Oryzias latipes: one gene and its partner. The protein of the gene in region 1 interacts with the protein of each later gene in a pairwise test. Links are inferred from orthologs where the notes say so. Each region holds a gene or a part of one and is shown in the gene's direction. Other genes may lie near its edges.

Evidence for each region.
Region 2: the proteins of dnpep (region 1) and mpp1 interact in binary tests that used the Homo sapiens proteins (3 or more experiments, as listed by UniProt). The two-hybrid records come from large-scale screens. The link is inferred for Oryzias latipes from reciprocal best matches to the Homo sapiens genes DNPEP and MPP1.

What each region holds. Positions count from the first base shown.
Region 1 is NC_019860.2:11,517,920-11,533,485, forward strand, and holds dnpep (aspartyl aminopeptidase), read left to right. Parts: upstream 1-5,027; 5' UTR 5,028-5,153; coding exon 5,154-5,159; exon of another isoform or gene 5,160-5,274; intron 5,275-5,295; exon of another isoform or gene 5,296-5,317; intron 5,318-5,514; coding exon 5,515-5,605; intron 5,606-6,264; coding exon 6,265-6,353; intron 6,354-6,462; coding exon 6,463-6,576; intron 6,577-6,898; coding exon 6,899-7,024; intron 7,025-7,142; coding exon 7,143-7,267; intron 7,268-7,348; coding exon 7,349-7,433; intron 7,434-7,677; coding exon 7,678-7,785; intron 7,786-9,231; coding exon 9,232-9,309; intron 9,310-9,391; coding exon 9,392-9,472; intron 9,473-9,549; coding exon 9,550-9,710; intron 9,711-9,856; coding exon 9,857-9,896; intron 9,897-9,976; coding exon 9,977-10,078; intron 10,079-10,701; coding exon 10,702-10,869; intron 10,870-11,273; coding exon 11,274-11,324; 3' UTR 11,325-11,444; downstream 11,445-15,566. Other genes in the region: receptor-type tyrosine-protein phosphatase-like N, read left to right, coding at 14,276-14,357.
Region 2 is NC_019872.2:19,055,837-19,071,616, reverse strand, and holds the start of mpp1 (55 kDa erythrocyte membrane protein), read left to right. Parts: upstream 1-6,970; 5' UTR 6,971-7,204; coding exon 7,205-7,327; intron 7,328-10,853; coding exon 10,854-10,982; intron 10,983-11,054; coding exon 11,055-11,133; intron 11,134-11,219; coding exon 11,220-11,305; intron 11,306-11,387; coding exon 11,388-11,456; intron 11,457-15,780. Other genes in the region: tmlhe (trimethyllysine dioxygenase, mitochondrial), read right to left, coding at 1,760-1,936, 2,017-2,159, 2,402-2,481, 4,423-4,440. UniProt on the Homo sapiens protein: Essential regulator of neutrophil polarity. Regulates neutrophil polarization by regulating AKT1 phosphorylation through a mechanism that is independent of PIK3CG activity.

The sequences.
Region 1 (15,566 bases):
ATGATCAAGAGACCTGCCCCTCAAACACAGAAAAGTCATTTGAATGGTTTATTTTTCCATAATAAAAAAAACAAAAAAATCTGTTTTTAATCAAGATTGTACAAATTAAAAGTAATTTAATCAGGAAGCTTATTTGACACAGAAACTTGTCCAATTTGACAAATAGCATACATTTTCCGAAATATCAGTGAAATTGAAAAATAAAACTATGTAGGACTATCACATAAATGTCAAAATTCATACTAATTGAATTTAAAAATGACAATGTAATTATTTTTTCCCTTTTACTACATTTTCAATAAATCACAGTCATAATGCAGCACAGTACAATATATATATTTTTAGTGTATCATTTGTATCGCTCTTGCGGTTGAAGAAACTGGACTAGTTTGTTGCAATGGATGACTTTATTCTTCCGATGTAAATGACATTACAAAGTCACAGTCAAACTAATCCACAAATAATCAAAATTAGATGTTTGACGAATTACATTAACAGATTACATACATCAATAAGAGAAGAAGAAAATCTTTTAATCCAACATTGTTAATGTTCATTTTATTTTTCCCAATCCCCCTGGCATACGCTGTTGTTCACCTATCCCTTCTGGGGTCACGTCAGTGAATCAGCTTTCACTCATTTGAACAGATGGTTTGACAAAGATTTTCACACCGGATGCTGTTTCCTGACACAACTATGTATTTTATCCGGGCTGGGGACTGGCACAGGGAGTCCAAGACTCATCCATATCAAGCTTTCTATGGAACAATAAACCTGCAAGAATTAGTCTAAAAACTTTAAAATCTGCAAAAAGCTGTGGAGGATTAGAATTACCTAACTTCCACAATTACTTTCTTGCAAATAGATTACAATACATCTTAAAATGGTTAAAAAATAATCCAGAAACCAACTCATGGTTAGACTTGGAACAGGCGTTATGTGGAAAGATCAACCTGTCAGATCTTCCATTTATTAGTCAAATAGTTAAAAGACAGGATTGTTTCAAAAGTATTAATATAAATGCCACTTTAACAGCCTGGTGGGAATTTCTCAAAATATCAAAATCATCAATTCAACCGTGCAAAATGACACCCATCTGGAACAACCCAGACATCCTCATAAACAAAAAAATTATCCACTTCCCAGCTTGGCAAGCAGGGGGCATAAAACAACTAGAGCACATAATTATTAATAGAAGATTCATAACTCCCCAGGAACTTCAAGACAAACATGGAATATATAACTTCTTGGAATATCAGCAACTTAAATCAATTATTACTAAAAAGTTTAAATACAGAGACAACGATTTAAAGCTACCAGATGTAGTTACCACTCTGATCAATTTCTCAATGAATAAAACTCTCTCCAAAATATACAAACTTTTATGTAATTTAGATAACAATATTTCACTTCCGACAACAAAATGGGATGCGGATTTGAGCATCAGCACAGATGAAAGTTTTTGGTCAGAACTTTGTCTAAACACCTTTAAAATGACAAAAAATCCAAATCTGCAGCTAATCCATTTCAAAACTCTTCACAGAATTTACTACACTGGACAGAGGATGTTCAAGATGGGTCTCAGTAACTCAGACATTTGTCAGCACTGTGACAGTAATCTACCCGACAATTACATGCATGCACTATGGTTCTGCACGCCTGTCCAGGCTCTCTGGCAGCAGGTATGTGCCGATCTATCAGTCTGGCTTAAGGTTTCAATCACAGCTTCACCGTCACTTTGTGTGCTTGGTGACATGAGTGCCATCGATGTAGAAGGAGGATTAGCATCTATCATTTTCATAACTCTTTGCATTGCTAAAAAAACTATTTTAATAAATTGGAAAAGCAAAAAAAATATAAATATAAGTCAACACAGAAATCTGCTGCTTGATCATATCAGCTTGGAAAAAATGTCAGCCCAAAGTTCAAGTAACTTTGAAAGAATTCGGTCTCTCTGGTCTCCCATAGCTAACTCCGTGACTTAGGGGGTGGGGGGGGCATGGTCGTCGCTGCTCCTTGCCCTTCTGCCGTGGGCCGGGGTGGGGGTCGGGGCCTCCGGTGCCTGGCCGGGGGGGTGGGGGCTCCGTTGGTCGGGGGGTCGGGTCCGGCGCCTGGGTGGGGCGGCCTGGGGCGCTGCGTGGTCCTCTGGGCTTGGGTGTGGGGGTGCGTGGTGGGGGGGTGGGGTGGTGGTCTGGCTTGGCTTGGGGGGGTGGTCCCTTTGCCTGTGCTGGGGGGGGTTGGCGGGGGGCGCTGCTCGGGGGGGGGGCCCAGCGGCGCTGGATGGGCTTCCCGTCTACACCTGGGGCTGGGATCGGCCCTTCCCTGGCTCTGGGGCGGGACGGGACAACCCTCTTGGGGCCCCCGGTCGCTCTGGGTGTCATCCGCTTCGACTGCGGGGTCTGGGGGTGGGGTGGGGTGGGGGTCTTGTCGGCCCTGTCCTGTGGGGGGGCATTTTCGGGGAGGGGGGGGGCACTATTGGTACGGGGCAGGGGGGGTTGACGGGTCGGGGTCTCCGCTGAGGCCATCGGCGGTTTCCCCGGCCGGTTGGCTGCCTCGGTCCCGTCGAGGCCTGACCAGAGCTCTTCTAGGGCCGGCGTTTGGGGGTGGGGGCCTGGGCTTGCTCCGGGGGGGGCCGGCGCTTTCTGGCTCCCCTCTCTCTGTGTGGGGGTGGTGGTGCTGGGCCTGGGGTGTCTGCGCCTCCGGGGGTGGGGCCCCGGGGCTGGGTGGGCCTGGCCCCCTTGCTGGGGGGGGGGCGGGGGACGGCTGTTTGACCACCGGGGGACAGTCTATCATCTGTCCCCAACTTCCCCCCTTCCTCATATAACCTCATAATAGGGTGAGGGGGTGGGGGGCTTAGCCTGCGATGAGCCTTGGGGGGGGGGGTTTACTAGGCAGTGACCCCCCTCCTGTGGTTGCCGTATGGAGTGGGCCCCCCCTCTTTCGGTTTTATTTGCACCTTAGACATGTAGGGCCCTTGGTAGGGGGGGTGCTTGGACATCACTGCCAGCAAGCAGCGGATGTCCTCCTAGCACCCTACCCGCCAATTTTAACCGCACCTTAGACATTTAGGGCCCCTTGGTGGGGAGGGTGAGGGGACGTCACTGTGAGTAATCAGGAGACGTCCCCTTAGTGCCCTACCCGCCAATTTTAACCGCACCCCCCTTAGTACACACACCCCTCCCCCCTCAATATATACATCCCAACATAAACACACACACATGCACACACACACTCTCTCAAACACACATACACGCACACACATTTTGCAAGGAAGGTGGGACCTAGGACCATCTGTCCCCTGCCTCTTCCCTGGTGGGGGGTACGGGCCCCTTTGCAACGGCGGCTGTGTCCCCGGGGTGCCGGCTTCCTGGGCCCGGCGGTGCTCTCTCCGCGCGGTGGGGGGGTTCACATTACATCTGAGCCGGGGGTGTTCGTGTCCCTGGGGGGTGGGTTCTGGTCCTTGCTCCTGAGTGCTGGGCCCCGCCAAATTTCCAACTGTGGCCGAGCCTGGTCGGGCCATATTTACAACACCCCTTGTGGGCCCTCTTTTTTCCCCGGGGTTCCCCCCTTCTGGGCGGGGGCGGCGGGCCCCTGCCTCGCTCCTCCCTGGACCAACCGTGGGCCGGGCGGGTGGCTGCCTGGAGTGCGGAGTGGGTCTCCCTTGGGGGGTCCTGGCTCGTACCTGGGGTTGGGGCGGGGGGATGCCCGGAACTCCTGGGTGGTGGTGGGGTGCTCGTCTGGGGCTGTGGGCGTCCTTCTCCGGTGGGGCCCTGCGTTGGGTTCTCCCGGCGCGGCGGGGGGGCTGCTCTCCTGGTTGGGCTGGGGCGGCGCCCTCTTTCCCTCCGTGCCTCCCTGCTCTCTGGCTCTGGGGGCCTTGCGGCGGCCCTGCTGGCCCTGGCCTGGGTGGCGGGCTTGGTCGCCCGGGCGGCGGTTGTTCCCTGCCGGTTCCCGTGTGGCGTTGGGGGGATTCCGGCTGCCGCTGCTGGTGCGGTGGGGGTCTTGGGGTGGGGATGGCTGGGCACTCTCCCTCCTTCTTTTCACGTTCCACCATCCATTTTAGAAGAACATAAACACTCACCTGAGCACAGGTGTTAGCTCAACAGACTGAATGACTGAAATATTTCACACTAGTTGGTTTTAAGGCATAAGTATGCGTGTGAACACTATCTGTTTTGTGTACATGTCGACAGGTGGACATTTTTGCAACTAACAGGTGTGTTTATAACATTTGAGTGTGTGTGTGGACAGGCTCCGCCCTTTTTTTTTTTTGTTTTTTTTTTTTTACATTTGAACCTTACCATAATGATTAACAACCAGTAAACTTGCTGCTTTATGCTGCTTCATGGTCTTATCCCCCTTCCCCTCCTATTATCACCCCTTACCCCCCCTCTCTCTAACGTCCCTCTCTCTTCTTCCCCTCTTTCCTTTTCCGTCCGGTCCAACACCAAAGATTTTCAGACATGTTTGAAATTAATAAAGTTTGGCCTCAATTACAAAAGGGGTTTATTCAGACATACCTTTGGTTTGTCTGAAGATTAATAACCTCTCTTGTTAAAGTAAAATATGTCCAACCCAAGAGGCCCTCAGCTCTCATCTGTCTGCCTAGCTGTTGGACAGGACAAGTTAAAAAAGAAAAAAAAAAAAAAAAAAAAAGACTTGGGCCCCCTTGTAGCTACATAATTAGGCAATGACACAAAGTGTGCTGCCTAAGGATTTACTGGATGAAGCTCACTGCGCCCCTGGGTATTGAACCCTGATTCCCCTTGTGCTGGACCTCCTCTTTACCAACTGATCTCCCACCATATGGAACTTCTTTAATTACATTGTGGTAAAACAAAAAGCTTTCTGTGGTTCCGCCACTCAGTAATACACATACACAAAAAATAAAATAAAATACATGATACATGAAAAAAGAATTGCACAAAACAAATTAATTGCAGAAGCTGACACTGACATTGTGGCAAATAATTGGAACGTTGAGATAACAGTGCGAGGTCTTTTAAAACTGTCATTGCACATCCTGGCCGCTTGATGACGCTCACGGTTCAAAGATGGAAAGGGCTACTCTCTTTGCTGCTGTCAGCTTGGCTAATGTGTAGCTAACTCAGTCCTGTCTCGCTGCAGCCAAAGACTAGACTTTGAACGTGCAGTTAATGCAGGTAAGCACCTCACACAGTGGTTGGTTTTGAACCTCCGACTGAACGTGTGGTTCTCTTGTTGAGAATCGCGTTAACTTTGACCTTTAGAATAATACTCAAGGAGAAGAAGAGATAGGTAAGATTAGCTGAACGCCGGTGTTTCCTTTATCGGACAAAAGGTCGGAAAAAACGAATTTTCCAACTTTATTTATGTTTTACTGACAGTCAAATGTTCATCCGTAGTGTTTTCTATTGTGTTGTCGTAGCGTGTCGGTGGAGGCTTTATAATTAGAATAGTCCCATGTGATTTGCTTAGTGTTGCAACAGAGCTGAGCAGCTGAGCTGGTTAAGCTTTTCCTTTCCGTTTCCCCATCAGTCTACAATCATGAAGAGCTCCAAAGAGGCCGTGCAGGCAGCCGCCAAGGAGTTTCTGCAGTTCGTCAACAGAGGAGTGTCTCCGTATCACGGTACACTTACACAAACACAACCTCACTAACGCATTGACTGCTGGAGTTAGCATCAAACCAAACTCTGTTCAATCAGTATTTGACTAGTAGAGACATGCAGTTCCTCAATCGTGTGTTTGAATGCAATATGGTCACATTTCGTGAGGTTAAATTCTAATTTAAATTATGGGTTCTTAAATTCGGCAACACTAAATAAACAGCTTAAGGTTTAATAGCGGTAATTATACATAATTAAAGATTTAAAAACACTAATATGTCACAGTGTGAATACGCATGAGCTGGTGGTAATATAGGGAAGATTGATGGGTGACTTTGAACTTGAGATAAGATCAACCATATATTGTGTCATTTTTTTAATCACAATTTCTCAGGAACCCTGTCTCTGTCAGACATTTCTGTCAGATATCTGAACAGAAATATCTGACAGACGGTATTATATTCTATCTGTTTGTTGTACACACCCCTTTACAAAATGAAGTAGTCAATCTGAGCATGTATGCATCTGAGCTTTATTAGTGAAGAAATTCAGGTAAATTGACGTAAAATCGGGGGTTATAAGAAGCTTGATTAAAAACTCTACAGGTACAGAGTAAGTTGAGCCTTTTAAACACTTTGCAGTTGAATCTTAAAATAGTTTTGCCTATTCTTCCCCTCTGCAGTGGTTGAGGAATGCAAAAGGCGCCTCCGGGAGGCCGGATTTATCGAGCTTAAGGAGACGGAGCAATGGCACATCAAACCAGCCAGCAAAGTGGGGTGGATTTCTGTTCCTTTTTTTCAAACCCTGAAAGGGGATTGACTTTAGGACTGTAAAAACAAAAAACAAAAAAAGAGATGATATTTCTTTTTATTCTCTGCAGTACTTTGTGACCAGGAACTATTCCAGCCTGATCGCCTTCGCTGTGGGGGGACAATACAAGCCTGGAAATGGGTTCTCTATGATTGGAGCGCACACAGACAGCCCCTGCCTCAGGGTGAGAGCCTGTCCGCCTCCTCCTCTCGTCAGCCTGCTGGTTTCATTTTTACACCGCAGATCAGTCCGGTTGTATCACCATCAATCTCTGACAGTGGAACAAGAAACCCCACATGATGCAAAGCAAGGTTCTTGTTTCAGTATGACGGGGTACTCAGACCATAACATCACATGAAGCTTAAAAAAAAAGACAGTTTCTTTCAGTGTTATAAAAAAAGCAATATTTTTGTTTGTGTGTGAATAACTATGTTTTAGACATTTTAAAAAGGGTGTAATTTGAATACACTGTTAGTTTTTAATTGTATTTTATTTTTGTGTTTCAGGTAAAGCCGAGATCAAAAAGGACAAAGCAGGGTTGTCTGCAGGTGGGGGTGGAGTGTTATGGAGGCGGCATCTGGAACACTTGGTTTGATCGAGATCTCACTGTCGCTGGGCGGGTTATGGTCAAGGTACCAGATTCTGCTGATGGGAAAAAAATGTTTACTCTTTAAGCAAATTTACCTTTTTTTTTTGGTTGAAAGTCTGATATTTAGACGCAACATTTTTTTTTTCTTTCTGTCCACATAGACTGGGGGGAAGCTTGTCCATCACCTGGTTCACGTTTCCAGGCCTCTGCTCAGGATCCCCCACCTGGCCATCCACCTCCAGCGCGACATCAATGATTCCTTCGGTCCAAACAAGGAAAATCACCTGTGAGAATGAAGCAGGCTTAAAGCATTTAGAAGCATTTTTTGTTTTTGTTTTTTTTTTTACTCTTTGGACTTGTGTGTCAGTGTGCCCATCCTCGCCACCGCTGTCCAGGAGGAGCTTGAGACAGGATCGTCATCCTCTGCAGATATTTCTTCACCCTCCAGCACGGTAAAATCGGAGACACGCGCCGGCTTATGTTTTGCTCATCTGTGATGTAGCATTCGCACTTACTATACCAGCTTTCACTTGTTTGCTTCAGAAGCGCCCCTTGGATCTTAACTTCTCTTTTCTGTTGTTTCAGTTTTGTTTGCATACAGGTATCACTTTGACTGAAGCTAAAATACCTGTTTAGATATACTCGTGGGTGGTGAAAAGGTTTTGAAAGGCTTTCCTCATCATCTTTGCCCTTCAGGCGGAGAAACATCATCCAGCGCTTGTGAAGGTGCTGTGTTCAGAGCTGGGTGTTGATGCAGAAGCTCTGATGGACTTTGAGTTGTGTCTGACTGACACTCATCCTGCGGTGAGTTCCCCCCCAAGACAAAGAACTTTAACCCTGGAGCTTCAGCTCCAATGATGATTTTCTTACAATTACTACAACTCTTCAACTGTGTAAAGCAGTTATCATGATCCAAACAGATTCTGAAGCTACCAACATAGTGTCCTACCAACGTTAAGCTTCCTACTAACGCAAGGTGTCCCAACATGTAGTGTCCTATCAATGTATTGTGTCCTACCAACATAGGGCGTCCGTTAAGCATCCTACCAACATTAAGCGTCCTACTAACATAAAATGTTCTCCTAAGTTAACGTGTACTACTGATGAAAGTGTATTACTTACAGAGTGTATTCTAAAGTAAATTGTCCCACTAGCCTATTACTATTAACAAACAGCATCCTACTAATGTAATATCTCTTAATGTGAAGTGTCCTACCAATGTATAGTGTCCTACCGACATATAGTATCCGACTAACCTATAGTGTCCTTCTAACAAATAGTGTAGAACTAACATGGTGTCTCTTGATGTAAAGCGTCCTACCGCCATAGTGACCTAGTAACAAATACTGTTCTACTATCTTATTATCCGTAGTGTTATACTAACAAATAGTGTTATACTAACAAATAGTGTCTTACTAACGAAGAGTCTCCTTCTAATGAAGAGTGTCCTACTAACGTTGCCTGTTAATTTGAAGCATCCTACCAACGTATAGTGTCCTTCCGACAAATAGTGTCCCACTAACGTTGTCTATTCATTTGAAACAAATAGTAACAAACAAACAATAAGTAACAAACAGTGATCTACTAATTTAATTTAACATGTCCTACTGACCACGCGTGTCCTACTAAAGCAGGGGTGTCAAACTCATTTTCACCGAGGGCCACATCAGCATAGTGGCTGTCCTCAAAGTACCAGATATAACTTTTACATTATTATAACTTTTTAAAGTGACAATTACAGTTGCATAGAAAACATATGTTTGCTTGTTACTCTAACAGAAATCTTATTAAATTTGATTCTGTCAGGTTATGTTATATGGACAGTGTTTAAGTCCTAATGTTTAGATAGCCAATATTTCAAGTCCAATTCCCCCTAGATATGAATAAGTACACACCAATTTTAATTTTTTATTTTAAGAAATAAAAAACTTTTATGCTCTCACGGGCCACAGAAAATGACATGGAGGACCACATTTGACCCCCCGGGCCTTGAGTTTGACACGCGTCCTACTAACGTAACGTATTTTACTAACGTAGTGTCTCCTAACAGAAAGTATCCTACTAACGGAAAGTGTTGCAAATAGGAGTAAAGCCACTTTTCTTTGCAACAGAAATAAGTTTAAACTGTTTCTCTTCATCAAAAAAAGAAGATTTTCAAAAATGAATCAAGACTTCATTGAAATGTTTTAATTGAACTGTTAACACATTCTTTTTTATGTAGTTTTCTCATGATGAGAGGTGTCTTTGCAGGTTTTAGGAGGCGTGTACGAGGAGTTCATCTTCTCTCCCCGGCTAGACAACCTGCACAGCTGCTACTGCGCCCTGCAGGTCAGACTCAGCGACTGCAACCTACTTCAGATGTTTTGTCAGTCCTCCTCCTGCTGCAGCCTCCTTCTTTTCGTCTCCTCAGGGTCTCGTGGAATCATGTTCTGGAGACTCTCTGAACAAAGACCCAAACATTCGCATGATCGCTCTTTACGACAACGAGGAGGTGAGTTCCATCCGTCCTCTCTGTCATGTTCAGATGAACTGTGCCATTGTGAGTCTGTGTGGTCATGTTTGCTGCAGGTGGGCTCAGAGAGCGCTCAGGGCGCCCACTCACACCTGACGGAGCTGATCCTCAGTCGCCTCGCCGCCTCCTCTTCCAACCTCACCTCCTTTCAGCAGGCGGCGCCGCTGTCCTTCATGATCAGCGCTGACATGGCACACGCCGTTCACCCCAACTACCAGTGAGTCCCCGAAACCTGAAGGAGGGCTTTTTCTGAAGCCTCAACCTATAGTGGTTTCTGAGTTTGAACAGTTTGACCTAAAAAAAACAACAACCACTGAATTATTAATGTCCTTTAGCAGCTTAAGTTTGGATCTTTTCTTTCAGGGAGAAGCATGAAGAAAACCATAGACCGTCTTTCCATAAGGTAATCTTGGATCTTTAAAAAAATGATGACACAAAACGAGTCGTGCGTTTACCTGACGTTCTCAAGTTTCGTTCCTTCAGGGCCCCGTCATCAAGTTTAACAGCAATCAGCGCTACGCCACCACAGCTGTCACCGCCGCCATTATCAGGGAAGTGGCCAGCCAGGTGGACGTGCCTCTGCAGGTATTTTGGCAGAAATAGGTTGTATGTCTTTGGTACAATTCTAAGAGAAATGTTTATTACTGAAAATATTGTTTTTTTTTTATTCAAAGAGATGTAAATGGTTTAAAAACTTTGTATTGTAATTTGTTTAGCTTCTGTTAAAAATGTAAAACAGGCTTTTTACTTTACTATCTAAAAACAGTTTGTTTGTAGATTAAAGAACTTTATCCTTTAATTTGAAATTTAATTTCTTCTGAAAAGCAATACTTTTTAAAAAATCTTGTTTCTTCTTTCTAAAAGCAAAGTTTTTAGCTGTTTTGTGTGTTTTTTATTGTCTTTTTTGTTCTGTTTCATAGCATTTTTTGGTAATTTGTGGTCACTGACAAATTTGAAAAGCTTTGTCTTTTTTTTCCACAACAGTTTTGCTACTTTTTTTTCTTGCCAAAAAATTAATTCAAAGATTTTTTAACCCTTTTTATATTTACTGTAATGTTTTTTTTTAAATATATATATATTTTGTGATTGGGATGGATTAAAGTCCAGATTCAATCTTTCTACAATCGACACTTCCCTGAATGACCACTAGAGCCCCCCCTTCTAACAGATACCAGCTTTCAGACTTCTCGCTTTCCCTTTGGCTGCAGGATGTGATGGTCCGTAACGACAGTCCTTGTGGAACCACCATCGGACCCATCCTGGCCGCTCGACTCGGCATCCCTGTGGTGGACATTGGCGGCCCCCAACTTTCCATGCACTCCATCAGGGAGATGTGCTGCACCTCCAGCGTGCTGCAAAGCACCACCCTCTTCAAGGTAAGTGCTACTCTCACCAAATCACAGAGAAACAACTCAAGTTTTGCTTTGAAATTAAAGTAACTGAGGGACTAAGATTTTTTTTTAAAACAACAAAGAGAAAACTTAAATTTTGAGCCTCTACAGTATTTTGCAGGGTTGTTTTTCCCTCTTGGTAAGGGGGGGGGGGATATTATGCAGCTTTTTAAAAAAAAAAAAAGGTTTGTGTTTTACTTTCTTATTTAATGAGTTTGCAAACTTTAAAAAAAATGTTAGTGTCTCTGATATAACAAAGTGAAATTGACCTGACGAGCTTCCATCAAGTCTGAAATAATACTAATATACTTTTTATGAGAGCTTGAATCTCTCTGAACTCTGCAGACCATTTTTTTTTTATTTTCCATGTAAATTTTCTCCACCTGCAGGGATTCTTCGAGTTGTTCCCTGCTGTCAGGAGCAAGCTGTTGGTGGACTAGGTCATGAAGGCCTCGCATAAGTGTTCAGGGTCGCGACGATCTCGTCAGAGAAGAAAAAACAATTTTGGAAGCCAAAAAAAATATTTTCTTTTGGAAAATAAAATCTTCAAGAAACCTGAACTGTGGATTTTCTTTTGTGAATATTGCTTCTTTGATGCGTCACTATCTTGTGAACACTCTTAGGGAAAGCAATTATTTTAAAAAAACATCTAAAACATGATCATAAAAGATCGTATCAGCTGGGAAGAGGTGGCAGTATTCCTTCCTAATTTACAAATTACTTACCAAAGTAATCCTGTACTTTACAGTACTGCTGTTTCAGGATTGTAAGGTATTACTTGACTTCTATATTACATTTTAAGTTACTTTCTTTTTTTAATCTAGAGGGAAACAGTCTGAAGTGACAATCCTTCAAAACTGATATAACATTCTAGTTTATTTTATTTGCAAATTGAAGCAATAAAACAAAATAATAGGGTAATTAATCTAAGAAAAAAGAGAACTCAAGGCCCATGAGCCTGAGTGTGTTTATTAATCCAAGTAGCTGAAACACATGTAACCCTTGTGCTATCCTAGGCACTTTAACATTGGGAGTTGGGTCATCTAGACCCACTAGACAGTGCTCTGAGCCTTTTTTCTTCAATGATTTATGATCTGCACTGGTGTCCATGAATTACATGAAATCTCTCCACCTTTATCCACCTTCGTCATGGTAGGGAGAACACGTCAATGTGAGGGTGGGGTCATCTAAGATAGCACAAGGGTTAAATGCATTTTTATTTTACTTGTTAACGTCTCATTTCAACAACTATATTTACTTAGATATAAGAGCACATAAGGACTAAAATAATACTAAAATTTCTTTATTAATGCTTTAAAGTATTTAGTTACACAGTTATGGCACAGTCTGACACTGATTATGAAAGGTGTCTATGTTTCCTTTTTGTCTCCTTTTATGTTGTAATTTTGCGATTCTGCTGTCATGCCATTGCATCTTCTTGTACTCTTTTCCATGTGATGTTTTAGCTCTAGTTTATTTTCTTGCCGTTTTGCTACTTTTTGGCCATCCTCTGGTTCTTGTCTCAAGATAATGTCCCCCCACCCCCCACACATTTTGTATCAAGGAGTGCAAAAAACAATGAGTTATATCGCTAGAGGAGAAACGCCCGATTGGAAGCCTGGCCAAAGGTGGCCGACCGCGTCGCCATCTTGGTGAGGTCGTCGGCGCCCACATGACAATGCTTTCAATAGCTTTTAGTGGTATCTGAGTAGCTTTTATATAATTTATATATATTTATATTTATACATATACAGTCAGGACCATAAATATAAAAAAATATTTATTATAATATATATATGTGTATATATATCTATATATATATATATAGATATATATAGATATATATAGATATAGATATAGATATTGATTAATAAATGCATCATTTGTTGTTGTAAAGTAAGAGAAACAGTCAGCCTTAAAAGCTCAAACTTTAATGAAAAATGCATGGTTGCAGGACTTCTTACAAATTAAAAAATTATTACAAACAATTTTTTAAAATAATTTCTAAACTTTTAGAAGTTTTAAACCTCTTTGACATGTAATATAAATTATTTAGAAAAGCCCAACAATAACTCATTAATAATAATAATAATATTAATAATAAGTAATAATAAATCAATAGTAAGTCAATAAGAATAATAAATAAATAATACGTCAATAATAATAAATAATAATAATAAGGAAATGTTTTGAACATAGCCAGACTGTATTTCTAGTTGGTAACCACAGCGATTCATCTGGGTTAGCTCTTTTTATTGCTAAGGCCCACTTTTACCTTAAGTCTGAATCCATTGGAAACCTGCAAGTAAAGTTCAGTCACTGAGTCAGAAATGTATAAATCTATATTACTATAATCCCCTAGTCCTAGTTTACTGTATATAGGTTTAAAAAAAAATATGTCAACAGCAAATTATAAGTACATCATGCCTACATGTTGATAATAGCCCTGCAGCATCATGCATGTCAACAGCTGGACAGGATGCTCTCGATGGCGCCTTGTCCAGCTGCATCCGTGTGGTACGGAGCCTGCACCGTGTCCTTTATTCACATTCTATTTCTCGCAATTGAAATGTGTCTATGATGAACATTACGGACCTCCACTGTCTTTTTAGGTGAGACAACTTGCAGAAACTGTGACTTGATGAATACTTTTTGCCCAATTTTAAAGGTGTTGATTGTGCTGTTTTTGTTGGTTTGTATTAGATTTAGTTTTGTCTTTACCTTGTCTGTTGCAAGTTTATCTCTCTCTATCCGTCCGTCCATCCATCCATCCCTCCTTCTATCCATCTGTCTGTCCGTCACTCTCTTTCTCTCTCTCTCTCTCTCTCTCTGGTCTCTATCTGGTCTGAGTATGAGAAAATCACAACAAATTTCTTAAAAGTATAAAGTGTAGCTCAAATTGCTTGTGTTTTTTTACACATTCATATCATATTAGTGTCTTTTTTATTAATCCTTGTCATTGATTCTCTGGCTCTAACTTAATGTTGTGATTAACGTTGTAATAGCCTTCTGACATGCAATTTTTCGAACTTTTTAAAGATTATTTTGTTGTTTTGTTTTGTTGTTATTTTTACTGTACCATACATATGTATTTTAAGGATAACGCTTTTTCTTCAAAATCCAATGATTAAACGATTTGGAATTTTTTTTTTCTAAACTGCTATGCAAATGTGTTCAGGTGCATGTTCTGCAGAACAGCGCCCCCTGTGGTCTGTTTTCTCTTAATCTCCCCCTCACCTCATGCTTCACTTTCACTCTGTCTGGCAGCCTCCTTCTCCTCCTCCCCCTCAGCAGAAGCAGCAGCAGCAGGAGCGGGCTCTCAGAAATGGAGAGCTGGTAGAGGCGCAGCAGCTGTTCCCGCCTCTTCTCTGTGGATGTTGGATGTCCTACCATGTCTGCGCGGCTCCGGGCGGCTCTGTACCTCCTCCTCCTCTTCACCGCCTCCTGCCGGCTGTACGCTGCCGCCCGACACGGTAAGAGCACCAATGATGATGATGATAACGGTCAGGAAAGAAGCCAGGCGCGGTGCGTAAATCACGACTTCTGAGCTGAGGGAACAGAGTTTGCGCCTCTCAGCACTTTGTGTTCCGTTTCCCATGATTATCTGATTTTGTCACGAGCTGCGCTTTCTTGCTTTGTTTGTTGCAAAAAAAAAGTATTTTTTTAAGTGATTATCTGTCTGGTTGAAAGCAGGAGATCTCAACTCTGTCGGACTTTAGCCTTTCTGCCTCATCTGTTGACATCGATGCCAAGTGCGTCACTGACGCAGATATTCTGAGCGCATCTGGCTGAGTCAGAGAATCAATCTGGCCATTTTTTTCCCTTCTCATCCCCCTTTTCAATGATTGAAAAGGGGGATGAGAGAAAATATCTTATATAGCTTTAATGGACAGATGATTTCATTTGCAGAGGATCAATGACTTCATAAAAGATACGTTTTTTTGTTTTGTTTTTTAAGAAAAACGGCACAAATACATTAATGTAATGGGCTATGAATTGGAAGGGTTTTGGGACTGTAACACTATGTAAATTCTATAACACACTCCAAAAAAGGAAATTACCAGCCAATAAACTTTACGAAAATGTAACTTGTCATTTCAACCAGAAAGTTTTATGTTTGTAAATCATACGTGAATGAATCATGTCGATTGTACATAAACTTAATCAATTTAATAGTTACTAATTTCAATCCTGTTGCTCCAACAAGATACCATTAAATTGTATTATGCCTAGATAACCTCACAATATCACGAGATTATGCGAGATTCCTCAAATACACCTGGCGGCGGCCTGGGGAACGCTCAACGTCGCGGAATGCCTGAACGCTGCAGAATGTTAACCCTATGGAAGCAATTCTGTAGCATTAATAAAAAGCAAAGTCAAAACCAGAAATGCTTGTTTTTACATTTTCAAAATGAAGCTGCATTTTTTGACTAAAAAATAAAATGAAAAAGCAATCCACCAAAATGCTTTTTCTTTTCCTTCCTCAACACAGCTTATTCTGTCACTTAATTAAAATTAAAATTAAAATGGTATTTGACATTTCATTTTCAAGACGTTCCATGGTAAATGTGTAGCAAAATTCATTTAGAAATGTTTAATTTGACATTTAAAATGGATTAATAGAAATGCTTTTTAATTTTCAAAATGAAGCTGCATTTTTTGACTCAAAATTAAAAAGA
Region 2 (15,780 bases), on another chromosome or scaffold:
TCTACTCCATCGGAGAGAAAAGTTGGAGGATGAGGAGCTAAAGAGGGAACAGGGAGGTGGATTGCACCTGCTCTGAGAAGATGCTGGGTTTTTTATTCTGTAGCTTTAGGGAGGGACAAAAAAAAAAAAACATCTGTGGAGAAACACAACTACACATTTAAAGTCCCACTTCCATCATCTTTTGATCCATTTTCGAAGCATTCCCCGACATCTTTTCAATTTGATGATGCCATTTTTAGCCAAAAATGTTTTAAAAACCTATGCTGTTTTCTAGATCCGTTTCTGCAGAGCAGCAGTTCATCTGAAATTCACCTTTAAATTGTGGGCGGGACTATTGGCAGGGAGTAAGCCACGACTCATTTCCCATCATTCCTTTGATGAAGCCACTTGGATGAGCAGCGAAACGTTTCAACGGTGAAATAGATGTAGGTCCAGTTGCTATGACTCAACCTCAAGACTTAACTACGAGCTTTTTCAAATATTATTTTCTCATCCACTCCTGATAGAAAAGGATTTGAATAAAGACATTCTCAGAAATGCGATTGTAATCTCAATTTTCTTTATATATGTCCTCCATCATTTAAAGAAAAGGCTACAAGAACATGTTAAAGACACTATTTTTATTTAAGTGGGACTTTAAAGGAGGCAAAAGAGAAGGTAGACTCTATACCATTCAAATATTTTTTGTTGCTCTTTGTCAGATCCTTCTTGTCACTTTTGTTTTCTGATACTTGTTCCAGTTTTGATGTTCTGCTTTAATCCATCTTTAAATCTGTTATATTTTAATAATAACAATTATTTAATAAATGATTTAGGGTTATTTTCCATTCAACTCTTTTGTTTTTTTAACCAACCAATTCTATGACACTAATGAAAGCAAATGGACCACGATATTGAAATGATTTTAACTTTTTTCTTAACCTTTTCTTTTATATTTTCTTCTAGATCTGGGTATCGCTGACAATTATTTATGTTTATTTAATATAATTTTTAATGGATTTTTCTCCTTCTACCTAAAACAGTTTTGAACGGCTATGACGAATAAATTATATCATAATGTTCTGAACATAGATGCTACCTGCATAGGGAAGTTTTTGTTTAACAAATTAAAACGGGAAAGAAAAACCAAGAAGTGTAGAAGATCGTATTATATGAGTTCATATTGCATGTTGTAAAATAGCTTTAATCCTTTTAGTCTGTTTTTATTACACGGGCCTATCCTTTAACATGTACAATGTCCAGGACAATGTTCTGTACGCATAAACTGAGCTAGAATGTGAACTTTTATGGTGACATAATGAGACAACAGCGAGAATCTTCAAACAATAAAAGCATCCTCACAGGACAGGGCAAAGACCACAGCTCACTCAGGTACTGCTAGTAGTGGTTGATGTTCAGGCACATGTGGTTAATAAAACCAAACATGCAAAAAATAGGCCCCATTGCAGCAAACAAATTTAATCAACCAAAGTTTTTGCATTAGAAAAAAAAACTACATTTTAGCAGTAATAATAGTTTTCATACACACTGGATCAGTTTAATTATTATTTGGTGAAAATTTGTGAATTCAGAGTCATGGCTCCATCTGAATGATGGTCTTTTTGTTTTATTTTGTACGGAGCCCGTAAGTACGGTGCCTGAAAAGGGACATAAAAAACTTTTTTTTACCCTCAAGTGCTAGTGCCACGAGAAAGAATGTTATTTGTTCTTTTGTTTACTTCTTCGTTCCTTTAAATGCTGGATCTCCTGCTGTACTCACAGGTCAGGACGACATGCCCTTCCTCGATCCGGCTGCTTTCTGGGCGCACGCGCAGGTCTATCTCCGCGGTGTCCAGGCTCCTCTGGTTGGTGGCGGGGTTGTAGGAGCTCGCGGAGCGGCAGTGGTCCCGCAGCCACACGTAGTTAAAACGCATCGGCGTGTCTCCATACTTGAGTTCTGTGGACGTGACGCGTTTTTGGAGTGAGAGCGTTTCTGGCGGAGCAGAAGCGGTGTGTGGAAACCCCCAACTCACTCACCGAGGCAGTCGTCGAGGACACGCAAACTTGCAGCGCGAGCGTCGGCGCACGCGCGGACCTGCAGAACCCGGTGTCTCCACTGCAGCCGCGTGGCCGAGAGGGCGGGCAGCCGCCGAGCGTGACCCACCGCAGCCCTCAGTGTTCTGTTAAACATCCCAAAACTATTTGGATCGATAAATCAAACCAAATATCAGTAAACTAATACATTCGAATTCTAGGCGGCAAGTCGTGCAACAGACCGACAGCTCTCCGCTTTAGCGTATGTTCCAACCCAAGTGTAAAATTTACGGACGGCTTTATCTCCCTAAATATCTTCGTTTAACGAGAAAGTGGATGGTTAATAATTACATGAACAATGGATCTCATCTGTTGCCTCAATCTGTACCTGGATTTGATGTTTATTATAAACGGCTTAGAAGAGTTGACGCATGCGTTGTTCCTTTGTTCCAGTTTCCGGCTGGAGCACTAAAAAAAATACCAAATAGTTGACTTCTGTTATATTCGGATATTATGACGAAGTATTAGGTCCAGCATATAAGAAAAAAATATATAGATAAATATATTATGATAATTTCCTCAAATTGTATGTCAACAGTTGGCCATAATAAACATAGTGAATTTTGTCTTTGAAAAGTCACAATTTATTAAAATAAAGTTCATTTACAAAGGAAAAACAGATCCAGTAAAATTCTGGAGCATTGGGATATCCATGTTATTCATCTAAATTGCAACAGAAATTAAACAGGAAATGTTTGATTTTCTTTGTTGAAATATATTAAAAGATGCTTTTATTTTCACAAAACGAAGTCATTGAAGGGCTCAGTTGGTTAAGTGTGTGAGTGGAAACCAGGTTTCAATTCCCACAGAGCAAGATTAGCTTCATCCAGTGTGGGTCCTTGGGCAAGACCTGTTAACCACTACCCAACTATGTAGTTACAAGAGTCTTGATGAACTGCAGGGAAGGGCATTGTACATAGAAATCTCTACCAAACCACCTGTGAGACTAAGTAAAAGCTGAGCAATATGCTGAAAGGTGAACAACATTTAATTTTTTTTAAAAAGCACAACTTTTTCCTTGTAAAAGTACAACTTTTTGAAGCATAATCTTACGATTTATTCTCAAATTTATTTTTGTATATTTATTTTACACTACTACTGTACATACTCTCTTGTTGGGTAGTTTTAGTCAAAGGTTTTTGGTTAAATATAAGCGATGTGTACATTTATACTCATAAAATATATTTTTGTTCCAACTGGTAATAAAGATCAGAGGCATCCTCAAAGGTTGCTGTCCTATTATGTGAGACTTCTTAAAGAAATTGATTTTGATCTCAGGGGTTGAGCGGTCGACCTCTTATCAGAAGATTGAAAGTACGGTTCCTGCCTTGCCCACCCATGTGTCGAAGGGTCCTTGGGCAAGACATTGAACCCCACATTGCTCCTGGTGGTTATAGGTTGGCAACATTGTTCTGCAGCGGAGCCGCCATCAGTGTGTTAATATGTGTGTGTGGGTAAATGGGACTGTGACTGTAAAGCACTGTGGGCCACCAAGGAAGGTGGTAATGTGCTATAAAAGTCGGCTACACACCATTTACCATTTTAATATTTTTGTTAGTCTAATGTTTATCTTTGCATTATCTTAGAAATAGAAACAACAAAAAAGAATAAAACCAAAATTTGATTGCTTTAGGAACATGCATTTTCATCAATGCATCTAATTGGAATTTTTGTTATTATACCTTCCTGAAGGAGGAATTTGGTAAAAACACCTCAAAGAACCACCTTAAAGAAGAATGATATATCCTCAAAGATCCGGATGAACTTCTGTTGCTGCAGTACTGAGAACATTCTGTCAGGCACGGGAACTGCACTGTTTCAGTCCAGAAATCTCTGCAGAGGGTGGAGAAAACCAATGCATCTCAGGAATTCCACTTATACTCAAGAGAACATTTACAGTAAGCATTGACTCACCATGACACGCAAAATTATAAAACAGCTCTATCACGCTCCCAATAAGCTCCATATACCAGCGGGGTCCAAACAAAAAGATAAAGTGTGTGATGGTCTATCAAACCATTCAGCATGCATTTTTTAAGCCATTATAATAACATTCAATGCAAATAAACCATTTAATTAATATATATATATATATTTTTTTTTGCAATGGGATACTTTTTATTTTGTCACATAAACAGAAATATATCCACACAATTTTACCAAAATTACTTAGAATTTCTGATTTAAAAAAAAAACAGAATTCAAATGCAGAAATATTCTAATAATAAAATAACTCTGGGTTCATATAAAATGATACATATTCAAGAAACCATGAACAACTTTTAAAAAGTGCTGGAAGCCGCTAATCATTGATTTTATTGCAGGAGCCTGCAGTTCCAGTGGGAACACCGACTGGACTTTGGACATGCCTGCTCTATACCTCCTGCTGTCTGGGAGGGGCTATATGAGCCTCCAGAGCAAAAAAAAAAAAAAGAATTTTCCTCCACAGCTGTTTCTTTGCTGAACTCCATTCGGTCATACACACAATGCCTGAACACTTTTTCGCACACTGACATATTATTGTGTTGTAGTTTTTTTCTGTATATCACCCGTTCTGTTTTTAGTTTACACATTGAAGTTACTCATCACTATTAAATATCCTCCCTGTATCAAATGCATTGCACTCACCTTAGCAAAAAGCAGTGCGGTGAAGTTTTAAGACTTGTGGTTTTTGCCTCACAGCGAGAAGGCCCTGGTTCAAATCCCAGCTGTGACCTTTCTGTGTGCAGTTTGCGTGTTCTTCCCATGCATGAGTGGGTTTTTTTCTCTTACCCCGGCTTCCTCCCACAGTCCAAACATGCTTCATTGGTTAATTGGTTCCTCTAAAATGTCCCTATGTGTTCATGTGCGAGTGATAGTGTGCCCTGCGACCGACTGGCGACCTGTTCAGGGTGTACCCCAGCTTTGCCCATCAGTTTCTGGGACAGGCTCCAGCAACCTTGTCACCTCGAAAGGGATATAGGGTTAAGAAGACGGATAAAGTTTTATTAAGGATATTAAAGTTTTAGGTTTCTGCCTTGGTTTCTTGCCTTTTCGGTCCGTAAGACTAGTCACAATATTCAGCAATCAATATTTGCATTTCGTTTAACCTGTTTGGTTACATAGCTGCCGGTGAATATGAAATGTCGGGCTGCCAATTTAACGTTGACAGAAGAAACCGTTCAGTGGGGCTGGACCCAACATTAAATCATTTTGACAGACAAGCACTAGACACTAATGCTGATTTATGATTTTTTTTTCTCCCCCCATCTTAACAAGGATAGGAAGGGTATTACAAAATATCCTCACAGTTTAATAGCTTGTCAATCTTTAAAAATGGTAACACACATCCAATGCTTCAGACTAACAAAATTATAAAACACTTTCTGAGGAGGCAAACCCTACAATCAGATTAAATCCCAAATATCTTTGTTTTGTTGGATTTGAAAAGTCATGGAACGAAAAATGATTTATTTACTCGGAAAACTACAGATTGGAAGGGGGGGGGGGGTTGAAAAGGTAATGAGCAATTCTAAAGATTTCTGAGAAGGAAAATTCTGAATTGCTCATCATCCTCTCTTTTCCCCCCATCCTCTGTAGAAAACCTACTATAGAAAGAGTTTTAGTCACATCTTTACACATAATAGTAAAATGTTCTTAGCAAAAAAGTGTTTGAATGTAAATCAATTCAGCTATCAAGTTGTGAAGAGGAAGCTAAACATTTAGTCATGACAATCAATTGAGCAGGGCTTCGAAATATCTGAAGTGATGGGATTATTTCCTTCTATTCACACCTTCTATCAAGCTTTTGGATAGCTTTCATTACTTCCGGGCCATATGGGCTACCCTGTAGGGCTGAATGGGATATCATAAATGATGCATTTAACACCTGGACAATTCATGTCCTCCTTTCTTTGCAGTAACTTCAGGTCTTCCCTTGTGGTATCCTAGGCACTTTAACATTGGGAGTTGGGTCATCTAGACCCACTAGACAGTGCTCTGAACCTTTTTTCTTCAGTGATTTGTGATCTTCTCTGGTGTCCATGGATTACATGACATCCTCTCCACTTTTATTCACCTGTGTCAAGCTAGGGATAGCACGTCAATGTAAGGGCCGGGTCATCTGGACCCAACAGGATAGCACAAGGGTTAAAGAAAACTGTCATTTAACTCAGGATATGTCGTCAATCAGTCTTTTGAACATTTTGTTCCATTCACGTGTCCAAAAATAAAATAAAAAACCTGATTTGGGCACAACTTCACAAAATTCACATTTTATTGACTACAATTTTTGAAATTATTGTTAAATCATTTCTTCGTAAATTCAAATCCTCCCACGCACACTCTCGGGTGATAGTGCGGGTGACTGGGTTGTTTTGCTTCCCTGTCTGCGGATTGAACAGCCCCCTCTGACAATGCTGCGGTAATGTTGCGTTCAAGGTTCCCCGAACAGTTTTTAAATTAGGGAGTTGGTCAAACGGCCCCTTTCCTTTAACGTAATTTGAACCGTAGATTTTGAAAATGCATCGACAGCAAAAGTCTCATACTTTTTTTTCAGAGCATTTCTTAAAATCCGGGATGGGGCAGTTGTTGTTTTGTTAAGAAAAAAACAAGGCTACATATTGTAATATGTGCTCTTAACATTACCGCAAATTGATTCTAATTAAATAACTCGAATTTTTGTTGTTTTTGTTGAAAGTTTTGAAAAAACAAAAAGCACAACAACAAAAAATATGTGTAAAATATCCTTGATTAATTTGCAGGAAGGAAACATAAGAAACACAATAATAACATAAAGGGGGGAATCCGTAAACATTGAAAATTTTCGAGAGCGTGTAAAGATTTTATTTAGTACTACAGCGTCGGAATGCAGAAATGTCCGAGTTCGCGTCATAGCTTGAATGGGTCATAGCCCCGCCCCTCCTGACCAGTCTCATGTTTTCATGCTTTGTCAGCGGTGCCCCGCGGTACATATCTCATGTTCTTCACTTGCTAACGATCCAAACTTTGGACTTTCATCTCCAGGAGTGACTGGTGTCATCGTGGAGACTCGTTATCAGCTGTTTCATCAAGTATCTGGCGGACCTTGAACGGGGGGGGGGGGAGGCAGACCGGGTTCACAGTTGTTTTCTTCTTGCTAACTCTGTGCGCGATGACGTTAAAATACAATAAAACCGAGCCCGTGCTGATACAGGAGCCGGTGGCCAGCATCCGGACAGCCCTTTCTGATCTCTACCTGGAGCAGCTCCTTCAGAACAAACCGAAGGTGGACAAGGTGAGCTTTCTGTCGGGTTTCCGCCGTGTTTGTTTTCGTTTTTCATGGCTTGCTCGTGTGCTTCCGGGAAGCAGATAAAACGGGCTACAAAATTGTGCGCAACATCCCAGGATATAAAAATAGACCCCCTGAGAAGTTCCGTTGCGCAAACTGGTGCAGGTCAGCTTTTTGCAGTCTCAAAAAAATGACGTGGGCGCTTCCCAGACACTGAGTTGACAATTTCACTTCGTCTTTTCCTCACATGTGAACGTGGTCCAACAGGGTGGTGTTGTGGGGAGAAATGATCCCCTTCTCAAAGTTGATCACGAATCCTCGGGACGTTTGAGTCACATTGATCTGTGGAGCCGCATCTGCAGTTTTTCCCTCATCAGGATTTGCTTGTTTCCTAATCTGTTGGTGGGATTAGAAAAAAAAAATCTGTTTTGAACTTTAAATCTGGTGGAAAGTTCCACAAAAAGGATTAAAAAGGTACATCGGCTACAAATTAAAGCAGGATTTTTCATGACGAGGGCAACTTTTCTTTTGTTCTGCAAATCTCTGCTTTTGAAAAGTCAGCATTCAGACTGTTCTAGGGACAGAAAAGACGGAAAGCACTTCCCCTGATATCAGCAGTTTGCAAGTGTGTAACCTGAAGTTGCAGTCACACTTGTGAGGTAGCACTGATTGCAAATCAGTTTATCCTACTTTAGTCTGTAAAAGACACAATCATGTTGTTGTTGTTCTTGTTTTTTCTTTTTGTATAGTGGCTCAAAATTTAAGTTACAAGTTAGTCTGATGTGCCTCCCCAGGCTCCATCTGAGGTTTGTTTTGCAGCCTTGAGCTCTGATCCTCTGATCTTCACTTGCACTACAGGCTTCAACTGTCCTTTGACCTACATAGACTTAAATGGAGACTGTTTAGGTCTTAACTAGTCCTAAACATACTTTCAAGTCACATCTGGTTACTCCAGCTGACTGAGATCTAAGGTGTCTCTTGGATCTGAGGTTTTCTTTGTAAAACAGACACAATAAATATATTAATAAATATATTTTATTTGGAGTGTTTTGGGAGTTTTAAATGTTACTTATGAAGCGCTCGTGACTCCAAAAAAAAAAAAGAAGGCTGGGCATCACCAGACAGATCAGTAGAAGATGGAATGTTGCCGTTGAACATCAACAAGCCTTAAGGCCAAGTTTGTTCTGAGAATTTGGACTCTTTTGACTCGGGTTATCTTGATTTCTTATTGACTCAGTTCTAAATAGAGAGGACACCACAACACCCCCACCGTGGGTCATGCTTTCTGAATGGACTGTTTGGTCCAGAGCAGAGCATGCTGGGATTGCTTGCTTGCCTTAAAAGTGGGAAAGCTAACTTGTACTTCAGAGCAAAGAAGTTGAGTTGCAAGTGGATCCTGGTGTGGTTCACTTCAGTGTGAAATGCAGATGGGCTGTGCAAGGAATCGGTGAGGAGAAGAACGGGCAAACGTTAACATTTCATTGCCGAAAAACAGAAACACACAAATCCAACGGCAAAAGCTTTTAAAAATGTCACGTAAACATGATCTAAACGTGCATATATGTGAGATTTTATAGTAACTGAGTGATGATTGGTGACAGTTTGGTTCACCCTCATGACTGCAGTGAGAACACCAACTCAACATTTTCTAAACCAAATGTGTCAAAATTACAATGTTTCCTTGTTTATCATAGGGGTTATGTTCTAAAAATAACCCACAATAGGTAAAATGTACAGATGATTTGCGGCTGTAAAACCCCTCAATACACACTTTATACACTTTTCTCAGGCATGAATATTTTCCCACTTTCCTCTGTTGTTTAAACACTCAAAGTTCCAACCTTCATAGAAAAACACACCCGGTTTTAAATAATAACAACAGAAATCTTCTCCCGATAAGAGATTTGTGTAGATTTATACAGGAGACACGTCACAGAGGAGACTGATTGACGAGGTCTATAGCCAATCAGGATGCAGAACACAGCTTGTTGTAAAAAAAACAACATCCAAAATTGCACTGCAAGAGGTGAAGCGTGATATGACGAGGGACCCCTGTATCGTAACTGAATGATGACTAGTGACAGTTTGGTCCACCCTTATGATTGCAATGTCAAACCCACTTGACTTAACATTTTCTTCTCATTTATACCAATTTTTTTCCTAACTATCCTGTTCTGAAAGATTCCTTACTGACGCACATAAGACGACTACTATTTTATTTCCTACAATAAGAGAGAGATCTGATTGGTCTGAAAAAAAATCAAAAATTTCGAATTTTATTTTGTAAATCACATAAGTCCTTTTTTTTCTAATGTCAGGTAGAGGTGTGCATCTCTCTTAATGTAGCTTTTTTCTCCTCTGGGCGTCATTAGGAACCCTGTTTAGTACTTTGTTTTTCCCATCCAGAAATCCGATTTCCTCCTCTCAAATGACTTCCTGCTTCCACTCGTCCCTGCAGGGCAGTACACGTCAAACTGTTCATCAAACCTATCAGTCCTCTAAATAGAATAAATCAAAGAGTGCTGTTGTCTGTAGAGTTCTCTTGGCTCCCTGATGAAACCAAACAGCGTGAGTTAATCAGTCAAGCAGATTTCTCTTATCCAACCATTCTCCTCTGCTTAACGGTTGTCAGGAGGGAAACCTCCACTCTTCTGAAGTGGATAAACATCCGTCTTTTCCTGTGATTTGGACTGGACTCGTATAAATTACAGCTCTTGTGGACAAACTTATGGACTCACAAAAATAAATCTCTTATTCCGTAATACATGTTTAGGGGCTGACTTCCTCCTTTCAGGGGTGCATCTCCTCTTGTGCTTGTACAAAACTCTGACATCTGTCGCAGGGAAATTTCAAGTTTCATGAAAAGTTTACAAAAAAATAACACCCCCCCCACCCCCAACCTGGACAGCTGACTTTATAGGTGATGTTTATCGGTTTATTATTGCGTTGGAGCTGGAGGGCAGATAACGGCTTTTTGCTGAGGCAGCGCTGATGTGTCATTTTAATGCAGAAGCTGATGTGCTGATGCAGGTTATTTGACAATTTTGGTGATTCATTTATAAACTCTTTCATATCCACCGCATTCCACTCATTCCCACTCCTAAGCCCTGTCTTATCAAAGAACACTAAGGCAGCTCTTTGGTCTCATTTAAAGGCTTTCCTCTGATTCAGAGGAAGTCGCAGAAATACAAGTGTCCGTATTTCTGTTCCCAAAACGTCTGAACACTGCTGTGAGATTTTCCGAGGAGGCTCGGTCTTTCTTAGGTGGCTGCTTTCGCCCTGCGTAGGTCCTGCTGATGGTCTCCATGACCACATGAACCTGTTGGATCAGATGACTGCACGTGGTTAATAAAGCGTGAGAAACGTTGGGTTAATTTTCAACCGCCAACCGACATGGAAGCTGCAAATAAAGCACAGCTGTTGGCACACGCCAGCAGAAACTCTCTGCGCTTATTAGAAATATTGCAGAGATTAATGATCTGTCCAGATTAACTAGGGAGGGGTCTTTTTCCTCCCTTTTCTCTCCGTACAGGCAGCGATGCAGACCTTTGAGAGCAAGGGGGCCGAGGTTTACACCAACGGTTGCGCTGGACACACGAACGGCACGGAGCTGACCAGGATGAAGGAAGTGGTTTTTGAGAAAAGCGCCTCAGAGCCGATGGTATTTGACCTCCTCTGCAGACACAGAGTGGGTGTGGAGTGGAGCTGCTGATGGTGTGGTGTTTGTGTGCAGGGCGTCACTCTGAAATTCAACGACAAACAGCGGTGCACCGTGGCCAGAATACTGCACGGAGGGATGATCCACAAGCAAGGTATTGTGGGAAAACCAGAGGATTCCCAAGAATGAAAGCGCGCTCATGACAGGAGCTGATTTGCCCTTTTTGCGTTTTTCCTGCAGGGTCTCTACACGAAGGAGACGAAATCGCAGAAATTAATGGCAACAGTGTTGCGAACCAAAGCGTAGACCAGCTCCAAAAGATTCTAGTAAATTTCAAATCTGGTCACCTGTTTGGATATTTTTTGTCTGCTTAATAGAAAATCTTTAATTCAATGCTTCTTTACGCAGAAAGAAACAAATGGAGTCGTGACGATGAAGATTATCCCCAAAATGCAAAATCGCTCCAGGATCTGTCAGGTGAGGACGAATGGGGGACGCATGGCTTTGAGTTTGGGGCGCAGAAAGTGTTTCTGTTGGAAGGAATCCGAACATTTTCCCTTTTAAACTTCAGTTTATATGTAAGGGGAAAAAAACCATTAAGCTTTGTAAGTTAAGGTATTTTTTAAGGTTTAAAATGAACATATTTCGAGCTTTTGTGCTACTAAAGACCGCTGTCTACAGTACCACAGATTTGTAAACCCTTTAAAATCAAAGCTTTAGCTCCAGTGTTTACATCCTCTCGACGACTGTAACCCGTCAACTGTTTACGCAATTTGGGTAATTCCAGTGAATTCTGAAGCAGAGGAACTTGCTCTTGCGCTGATATGCTACACCTTATGGATGTGTTAACGCGATCAACGTAGATCAGCTGACCCTGTCGCAAAGTGTTGCCTAGCGGTGCAAACAATATGAAAAGCCGCTGTTGTTGTGGGAATTGTTGTTGTGGGAATTGGGGTGAAGGTTGAGGAGTTACAGTAGGTCAAAGAGCGTACGCTATTTAGTTGTCTCTGGCGACATCTGCGGTAATTAAAGGGTTAAAAGCAGCCAGTTTGAGCGGATTCGGCCATCTCATACTCTCTGATCCAAGCATCCTTCCTCATCCAACGTGGTCTTTTGACATCCTTCTCATCTTGTATCTCAGTTGAAGGCACAAACTGTTTTTGTTATTTTTTTATTTGATTTATTTTTACAATGGGTTGATGTTGCACAAGTATTGCACAAATTCTGCAGTTGAGTGACTGGTGAGTACTCGCACCAGTGAAGTTTATGCTGGGATCACAGTCACCAGTATGAGGGGCCGTACAAAACGTATTTCATTCTGAACCACTCACAGACCACACAAACATATATATTCACTTTCATCCACATACATTCACTCTCGCATACATACATTCTAATAACATGCGTCTAATAACGAACTTTCTTCAACGTCAATGTGAGTTCACCATTTGAACGTCGGATTGACATTTTTATCAGACGTCAAACGGAGCTGCAGGTCCAGCAGTTTTGCTTCTGTCTGTCTGTCAAAAACCCAGTCCTGGATGTCTATAGGCCTACAATGTGTCCACTATTTTATGTCCAACAATGACCTCATTTGATGTCCATTTTAGTTTAACAAAAATGCCAGATAGACATTTTAATGACCCATAACAGGAACATGCGGGACCAGGGCAGGATTTGAATTTATTTAATTTTTTTACATTTTCATGTACTGTTTATTTTATCTTCTTATAATGTAACGATTGACTGATATGTGGTAGAAAATTATTATCTAAAAATTATTTTATTTTTATTTATTTATTGAGACTCAGAATTTATTTCCCCATTTTCACTGCAGGCGAGTTATGCGTCAGTCATTTATGCTTAACTACGTAGTCAACTCCACTCTTGCTAAAACGGCCCGTCTGATCCGACCGTGCAGTTTAGGGTCTGACTCTGAACCGTAGACGTACATATGACTGGACGGAGCATCTCTGACGTCACCCTTTGACTTCTACAGTCCCCTGCTTGAAGCCTAAATTGCCAGCTCGCGGGCGCAGCTGGCTGGAGTTAACTCCGCCCATCTGGGACGTCCCAAATCTGGTGAAAAGAGGCAGGACTGAAGGAAGTTGTTTTTTTTCCCCACGCCCACGGTTTATGCCAATCCGCGATCCGCTTTAGCTATAGTCTCCGACTCGCCAATGCTGAAGTGGACCAACGTTTACATCATGAATCGTTATCAGTAAGTACTTGGTGTTTTACTCAGAATATGCAAATCTTTTACTGTATAGCAGTGCAAGATTTAGACAGCAATAAAAACATATTTTCATGTGTTTGAACAGCCGGCTCTAACACATAACACGTTCAAATATGTTATTTCTGTGGTCCTAATATGTAATATCAAAATATACTATGTTATTGTACCCTTTATATATGCAGTTTTTAAACGATACATGAAAACAGTGATAGATTAAGGTGTAAAACGTCTTAAAAGTAAGGAGTTTTTTTTTTCCCCCTTAGTTGAGCTGAATATATTATCATCAACGTCTTAAGACTCGAGCTAATATTTGACTTAACCCTCTACACACCGTCACAGGGCTCCAGTTAAGCACAATGCTGCTCTGCTGCTGACAATCCAATAGAGCGGACTTAAACATTTTTTATTTTCTGGCCTACAAGGAAGAGCAGCTTCTGATTTTCTCACTGCTGAGGATGTGAATGGGCGATGTCAGGAGCCTGGAACTGGTCACCAGGACAAAAGAGGACGTCCAGTAGCTTTGCGGTGCTCAGCCCTGATTTCCCCTTTTTTATTTTTTTTATTTTTTTTACATTTCTTTCTGAATTTTTGTTTTCTTTGGGTAGAAATGTACTTTAGGATGATTTATTAGGGACTTCAAATGTCAAAAACAGTTAGTGATGTGATAGATGATGCTTTGTAACCATTACATTGTTCACAAAAAGCTTTTTTCTCTTTTATTAATTATAAATTTGAAATATTTTTTACTCGACATGATTGAAAATAATTTCATCACACCTTTGCTCTGCGGCACACAGCCATCGTGTCAGGTGATTGCTAAAAAAGGTCCCTACTTTCTTTCAATGAAGGATAAGATGTACTGAATTGTCAGTGGTCAATGGCCATGACGTTTTGAATAATTGAATCTGTTTCAAAAAGAAATAAATGTTCAACAGACTTGACTTTGACCCAGATTACCTTTTGCTTTTCTTGCATATTGAAACAAACTGAATCAACAGAGGTGACTGGTCACTCAAATATATAAAACTTACTTTTTATTGAATCACCCTTCAGCAGGATTTCTCTACAAATGTAACAATTAAACATTGTTCTGCATTAAACTTGTAAATGTCGGATTGTCTTGGTTTATAAGTCGACTCAACACAACACGACACGTACCTGGAGAGGAACATACGAGACAAACGTGAAATTGAAATCACAAAACAATAAGTAAAAAAACTAAACATGTATTAATTGATTGCTTAAATTAAATTATATGTTCCTGTTGGAGTAGACTGAACTATGTTTTCATAGTTTTACTTCAAAAATCTGTGTGATGTCACTTGCTTTATGAGATAATTAAATATGAATTGAAGCAAATGATTAAATATATTAATGTAAAGACATTCAGCCCCCGCTTGCTAGAGTTACCACTTGGTCTATTGATGTGAGCATGTGGTGGCCTCTCAGCCAATCACAGCACGTCATCATCTGCCACTATACTACTTCTTTCACAAACATATTTACTTATTTCACACACATGTATATACATATATATACTTCTTTTGCACATATTTCTTTCACATACAGCTCTCAAATTGTCCCAAAAATATTTAATCTAAAACAACACATTCGAATTAATCAATTAAATCGATTAATCGCCAAGCCCTACTAGATACAAATATCAATTCTGCCCATATTTGCAAAATATATCTGGGAACTTTAGATTTATTTCATGGACAAAGTTAAGCTTTGTGCAACATCTGTGCAGTCCCAGTTCAGTAAGATGAAACCCAGAATTTTCACTTGTTGGCAAATTTTCTGAGAAATGTGTCCAATTTTTTTGTTGTTGTTTTTTTGTGGACTGTTGAAACCCATACAGAAACAAGGCTGTATGATTCTCAAAGGCTAAAATCCAGAAAAAAAAATACACCAACAGCCCTGTGAAAATTCTGCAGCTTTTTACCTACAATTTATTCCAAAATTAAGGAAATTGTTAGATTTTAATGTGAACAAATACTAATAACCACGTTCAAGGCTGGGTTATTATATTTTTGCTACTACATCTTTGTTGGTCTTTGAAGGCTGCTGCTGATGCATCTGTTGAGCAAAAAAAAATTCAGAAGAGCTTTTGGTTCTTTGTCCAACACAAGCACAAAAACCCTTTACTTTTATTCATTTATAAAATGTGTTTTTCTTATTTAAAAGATAAATTGTACCTATATTTGATGAGAAATTGGACAAGCATGTATCCATTTTTTATCTATTTTATTCATAGAAATACATGAAAACAGTCTTTAACTGCTGAGTTTTTAACCTTTAAGTTATATTTGTTTCCATAGATATAAACTGTGAGAACACTGAATGCAATAAGAACTGGTGTTGCAGTTGGGTGAACATGAATGTGCTGCGTCTGATGCTTCCTGCAGCTTTTGCATTACAGAGCCCTGCAGGTCTGAGTGATGCCGATTGAAAGCCTGAGCGCTGCAGCCATTCCTCTTTTTAAGCCCTGAAAAAGTTCCTTTTTTTTTTTTTTTTCTACTGTGTCTTCAATCAAACCATCTTCCATCTCAGAGTGCATGCAGA